Linked DNA regions of Danio rerio. The protein of the gene in region 1 purifies or fractionates together with the protein of each later gene. This does not show direct contact. Links are inferred from orthologs where the notes say so. Each region holds a gene or a part of one and is shown on either strand. Other genes may lie near its edges.

Region 1 (3,836 bases):
AAACAGTTAGAACTGGGCTTTTTAGACTCTCCATGTTTGATTTTTTTTTTAAATACACGATTATGCTGTCGAACTGTAGTATAAATGCAATATCACACTCATAGCAGTGTGATATGGCTGTATATCGTCACTGGTGGGACGCTAAGGCATTCTGCCTATGGCCTCATGCCAACACACCCCTCCCACCACTGCCGATATACATCCATATCACACTGCTATGAGTGTGATATTGCACATATATACAGTTGGGGTCAAACTGATTTGCCCTCCTGTGAATTTGTTAAAAAATATTTCCCAAATGATGATTAACAGAGCAAGGAAATTTTCACAGTATTTCCTATAATATTTTTTCTTCTGGAGAAAGTCTTATTTGTTTTATTTCGGCTAAAATAAAAGCAGCTTTAAATTTTTTAAACCATTTTAAGGTCAAAATTATTAGCCCCTTTAAGCTATATTTATTTTTGATAGTCTACAGAACAAACCAATATTATACAATAACTTGCCTAATTACCCTAACCTGCCTAGTTAACCTAACCAACCTAGTTAAGCCTATTATTCAAAATAAATATTATTCACTGTCATCATGGCAGATTAAAGAAATCCGTTACTAGAAATAAGTTATTAAACTATTTAACTTAGCTCCATTAGAATAAATTTACAGGAGGGCTAATATTTCAGAAGGGTTAATCATTCTTACTTCAGTATATAACTATAACAATGTCTATTATTAAAGTTCTGACCATTCTTGATGTCGTCCGGTCTGATGCCGCTAACCGCCGTTCGGTAGTCCGTAACCTTCTCTGTGGGTTTGACGTATTTGTCATAGATACATTTCCCGAAGTGGTTGACGAGGGAGACTCGGGCTAAAATACTGTCCTCTCCCTTATATCCAACACCCACCATCTCGCAGTCCATCGCAACCGCACGAGTCACTCTAAAAACCACAAAATAAATCATTGAGTGACATCACTTCCTGTTAGCAATGACAGGAGCAAGTGTGGTCATGTTCACATACCCCTCAAACGCATGCTCTTTCACCAGCATCTTCTCTGTGTTTTTTGGATCGCACTTCGCTAATCCGCAGCGTTTCCGCATGATGTCCGCAGCTTCTGTCCCTAAAGCGGACTCGATGTCATCGGGGTCCACGTCGTCAAACCAGAGGTCCGGCCTGAGGGAAAACAGGGGGTTACATATAAAAAAAGATGTAGGATGGAAGTTGGTTATCAACAACGAAGCTTTTTTTTCTTGCAAATGCATTGGCTATTTTCCGATTTTTCCCCTTGAACTCTGTGTTTATATGGAGAGAGAGTTGAGAGTTTAGAATTTATTGCCATGTCAGCATCTCTGGCTATTTTATGGCAAAACCAGATCAATTTGACAATATTTTATAAATATAAGTTGAGTTTATCTCTCACTTCTTGACTTTAGACCAGGGGTCATTAAACTTGTTCCTGGAGGTCCAGTGTCCGGCAGATTTTAGCTCCAACCCTAATCAAATACACCTGAACACGCTAATCAAGCTCATACTAGGTAAACTTGAAACACCCAGGCAGGTGTGATGAGGCAAGTTAGAGCTAAAGCCAGCAGGGACACTGGCCCTCTAGGACCAAGATTGGTGACCCCAGCTATAGGTCATTCAGCTTTTTTCAGTGTATTTATTTAGATTAAACATTAGATATTTAATTTATTAATGTAGATTTTTCTAGTTATTTTGTTTATTTTTTGCAATAGCTTTTTAGCTTGCTCCACATATTTTCTATCTGATCTCATAATTCATACCTCTAATCATATCTTCTCTAGAGTTCATATCTCTAATTTTGACTTTAGCTTTAGTGTTTTTATTTTTGCCATGGAACAAAGTGTAAACAAAATAAATAAACAAATGCAACACTTTGCTTCACAATTCTGACATTTATATTAGAATTGCAAGTTTATTTCACACAACTCAGATTTTTTTTCTTCTTTTAGTTATTTTATATATTACACTTCCAATCTACTGGAAATTTTGGATTTTTGATAGTATATTGTGACTTTTTACAGAAATGAGTTTACATTATATATATAATTTTGACTTTAGCTCAAACTTTTTTTTCGTTCTTTTCTTCTTTTTCCCTCACCTTTATAATTTCTTAGAAATGCAGCTATATTTCTCAGATTTTAGATTTTCTTCCTTTAAATTGTTTAATTATCTAAAAAAGTGCATTTATTCCAATACAGTTTTTTTGTTGGCATAACTGATAAAAAAAAATCAAAAAAATGTGGATTTTTCACAAAATTTTGGACTTTTGAGAGTCTAAATCTCTAATTTTGACTTCAACTTGAAAATTCTTCTGTCCGGCAACATAAAAAAAACTTTTCCCATTATATTTTTTTTCTTGCCTTTCGAAATTAACATCTTGCAATCCTGTTTTTTTTTCTCCGCCACAGAATGGAGTTGTTTATAGAAGGTTATACATATATAGAAGGTTTACCCCCCTTTTTTTCTGTTTTAAGCATTTCCCAAATGATGTTTAACAGAGCAAGAAAATTTTCACAGTATGTCTGATATTTTTTCTTCTGTAGAAAGTCTTTTTTGCTTTATTTTGACTAGAAAAAAAGTTGTTCAAAGTTTTATGAACCATTTTAAGGTCAAAATTATTTATCTAGTCAAATATTATTTACTGTCATCATGGCAAAGACAAAACAAATCAGTTATTAGAAATGAGTTATTAAAACTATTATGTTTAGAAATGTGTTGATAAAAATCTTCTCTCCGTTAAACAGAAATTAGGGATAAAATAAACGGTGGGGGAATAATTTAGGGGGGCTAATAATTCTGACTTCAACTGTATACACACACACACACACACACACACACACACACACACACACACACACACACACACAAACACAAACACACATTTCTGACTTCACTTCTGTGTTTTCTCCAAACACAATAAATAAAAAAATTATAACAATTAATATAATAAAGCTGTTTAAATCTCACAATTTATGATTTTTATTCTTAAAACTATTATAACTAATAAAAATATTAAATTAAAGAAATATTTGTCTATAAATCATACAAGAAAATGAATGTAATCCGTCTTGTAATATCATAAACTGCAGGGGCGGACTGGCCATCTGGCAATTCTGGCAAATGCCAGAAGGGCTGGACCATTTTTTTTTAAATGTGGGCCGGTATGCTATTTTTTATTACATTTTTTTTTAATAAGTATTCATTTTACATACAGGCAGTTTTTGTTTCTTGCAAGAGGTGAATATTATGATAAAGATGATGATAATGATGATGATAATAGTAATAATAATAATAAATGTTAAGCATTGGCCCAATCGGTAATGGCCAGCTGGTTTCGAGATGGGCCCACCCAATCAGAGGTTACGCATGACATAATCAAAATCTGGCAAGAATGTCAAACAAACATTAGGTGCAACACAAGCTAATTGTCAGAGATGGACCGTGAAAAAAGGAAAGGCGGTGTCAAAAAGCTCAGAGAAACTTAAAAATTGCTCTAAAATCAGACGCTGCCAAATGCATAAAATTAACTGAAATAGTCTCAAAAGGGGGCAGCACAATGGGTAGCACTGCCGCCTCACAGCAAAAAGGTCAATGGTTCGAGCCTCGGCTGGGTCATTTAGTGTTTCTGTGTGGAGTTTGCATGTTTGTGTGGTTTTCCTCCTGGTTTCCCTCACAAGTCCAAACACAAAATAAATATCTATTAAATATCTATTACATATGGTACTGCTGATATTATTTTACCATCTGTACACCAATAAAAGTAGTGAATGTGCGTGTCTGTGTATGGGGCTGTGTCGGTGTGATAATGTGGGCTGAT
Region 2 (3,203 bases), on another chromosome or scaffold:
AGCTGCAACCCATCTCTGGGAAAGCTTTAAGTTATTATTTTATACATATTTGTCACATCACAGATCAGAATAACAGTAGGTTTCATTTTCACATAACACTAAATGACAATACAGCGTTTTTAACTCATATTTTTAATTTCACAAAAGTTATTTAAATCACTAAACAATTTAATTAGATTTAATTTGATTGCTGTAATTAAAAATCACATTTGTGAACTTAGGTAGACACTGAAATGGGATGTCTCCTCTATTTGATGGTATAAGATAAATCTAATCATATTCTTTTCATTAAAATTGCTCAAATACTTTATTAATTGAATCTTAGCTTCAATTTTTTAAGGTGATATTTTAGCTTTATAATTCTAAAATACACATTTGATGATATTTTATATTACATTATAAGAACATACTATTTAAGTACAAATGTTACCCATTAACAGCAGGCTTTGACACATTTATACTCATTTTTAAATAACTTTGGGGATGAAATATAACCTCATTATTCACAATATCCAACCAGGAACTGATGGCAAATCAGAAAGAATTTTAATTTAATGTGAAAACACAATTACGAATGAATAACAGGAGTCAATATTAGATGACATTTATGAAAACGGTTCAATGATCTTAATCCATGACATATGTAGATAAAGCCTAAACACATAAACAAACCCGATTCCTGTACTGAATCAAACTCCAGCCGCAAGGCACTCAAAGTCATGACTTAAGAGAAGTTGAGTCGTGTGCAATATTTATTATATTCTACAATAAACATCATAAGTCCACCACACTGCTTTAAATGTTAGCGCTTTCCTTGCTTCATCTGAGGTTTGCGCCCTTTGCCTTTAGGAGCTTTTCCCTTTCCTCCAGGTTTTCCTTTGCCTTTTCCTTTACCAGGCATGCCTCCCTTGCGTCCCTTCTTTCCAAACCCTTTCTTATTATTCCGAGCAGACTCCGAGTCCTCTTCCCTCATCTGCTTATTCACAGCTTTAGTGATATCGAGACGGGGCTTCTTACTGTCCATCACCTTCAATAAATCCAGCTGTTTTTGCTTCTCGCTACTGAAGTCCCCAATAAGAGGCTGGAATTTCCTCTTCTTCCCAGTGTTTCTGGCTGGTTTTTCCTTGGGCAGCTTCTCCTGGAATTTGCCAACCGATGCGGTGGATATTTTGGCCAGACTGACCGCTTGTGCCAGCTCCGCTTTGGTCTGCTGGGATGTAGGCAGGAGTCCTGTTCCAGGAACCTTGACCTTCTGAGCTCTGGCGATGTTTTTGAGTCTGTTGTACTCGTTTCTGGCCACTCTTTCCTTTTTGGCTTTATTCCTTTTGGCGAACTGGTCTTCGTTTGGATCTGCAGTCGCCGGGACCTCAATCAACCACTCTTTGGTGTCATCTTTGGCACGTTTATACCCCCATCTCCTCTTCCACTCCTTGTGAACTTCATCCCAGACCAAGTTGGTCTTCTTTTTCTTCTGAATGCCTTTCAGCTTGGCAAACTGTTCCCATTTAGTAGGAGGCTTAGGTTTCGGTGCTGGTTTTTCTCTGGGTAGTTTAGTGGTCGGTTCTGGCAGCTTGGCGACGATCACTTCGTCGACTCTCTCTGTGGGTAGTTTCCATATCTCGTTGATGAGAAGTTGTGTGTTGTCTCGCGCTAAAGAGCGAAGACAGTCCTCCCGTTTGTTGCCTTTAAAGTCCCGTGTGTCAAGTCGGTTCTTGTCAAACGCCAGCAAAAGTCCCGGGTCGAATTCAAGATCCAACTCTTTGAGCACCGTAATACTTTTGAGCTTCTCAGCCTCGTCTCTTTCAGCTTTAGCGAGCACGTCTTCAATACTGCACGAAGCCATTTTGGTTCTACTGACAGACAACGTGGGTTCCCACATGTGCCGCTAAAAGCGGAAGTCTGGTATTTCAAAATAAAAGAACTAAAAACTAACTTAAAAAATAAAATAAACATTTCAAATGAGTTAAAGAAATATAACAATCTTTAAACATGTTTTAGCTAGTAAAACGTTTATCCTAAGTGTATATGTTTATGATACTAACTAACTTACTTCGGACGAAAGTTGTTCGGTCGAATGCAGGAGTAGCGATAAACCGACAGGACGTCCCATCGGCTCTGTGGCGCAATGGATAGCGCATTGGACTTCTAGATTGTTGAATGGGGTCATTCAAAGGTTGTGGGTTCGAGTCCCACCAGAGTCGACATTTTTGTGATCAGAATCAATAAAGTGGCCACATGCCAGAAGTTACCTGAAGTGCTCGAAGACATGATTCAAACGAACCTGACTCAGTGATTCAGTTTGTGGATGCGTGAATCTTATAGCCGAACCGAACCGGTGGGTTAAGCATACGGAGCAAATGGTTCGTTTTGATAAAATATTAAATTTATTTAGATATATATCGGTTCTGTGGATGTGTAACCTGGGACAAATGATTGGTTTCTAAATGCCAGTAAAACCTATAAGTGAAACCCATAGTTGTGGTAGAAATATTGATTTATTTATTTTGTTGCAGTTATACACACGCACGGTTGTATTTGTTTTATCATCGACCACTACAAATATCTAAAAATAATTAATTATCCTTAATAATACTTAAATTGTGTTTTTGGTATGATTTTAAAACTGATTTTTTGGATCTGTTTGGATTATATTATTACTGAACAAGTGATACTGAACTGATAATATGATTTCTGAACTGATGCCAATGTTATTCTTGAAAATTCTAACAGAAAAAATCTGGAAATTGCCTCTGCATACAGTATGCAAACAAAAACAAACTTGTTATTATTATTATTATTATAATTATTATTATTATTATTATTATTATTAGTAGTAGTAGTAGTAGTAGTAGTAGTAGTAGTAGTAGTAGTATTTGCATTACTGTTCAGTTACGCAAACAAAATGATCTTTAATTGTAAAATAACAAAAAACTCAAGTCTCCGATATAAAAAAATGAATGTGCTAAAAAATACACTGAATAAAGTCTGTCTACAACAGTTCGAATCAACTTGTTCAGATTGGTCGGCTGGTGAGAACGTCATATCCGCTGCTCGAGTTTCCCCGGGAAGACACTTTGGCGCGGAAATCTGTTGTTTTGGCTTCGCCCTTTGTAAGGAGAGAGAAATTCTACCTCGACTCAACCGCATTTTATATCAATGGCTCCTGTTTCAAATCCCGATAAAGACATGGACGGCGGAGATTG

The links.
Region 2: the proteins of rexo4 (region 1) and rrs1 purify together in Homo sapiens (co-immunoprecipitation; 3 studies listed by BioGRID and IntAct, with this or other methods). This does not show direct contact. The link is inferred for Danio rerio from reciprocal best matches to the Homo sapiens genes REXO4 and RRS1.

The regions. Positions count from the first base shown.
Region 1 is NC_133196.1:7,188,815-7,192,650, reverse strand, and holds part of rexo4 (RNA exonuclease 4), read right to left. Parts: intron 1,169-3,836; coding exon 1,016-1,168; intron 935-1,015; coding exon 741-934; intron 1-740.
Region 2 is NC_133199.1:27,758,313-27,761,515, forward strand, and holds rrs1 (ribosome biogenesis regulatory protein homolog), read right to left. Parts: upstream 1,853-3,203; 5' UTR 1,844-1,852; coding exon 803-1,843; 3' UTR 525-802; downstream 1-524. Other genes in the region: pola1 (DNA polymerase alpha catalytic subunit), read left to right, coding at 3,157-3,203. UniProt on the Homo sapiens protein: Involved in ribosomal large subunit assembly. May regulate the localization of the 5S RNP/5S ribonucleoprotein particle to the nucleolus.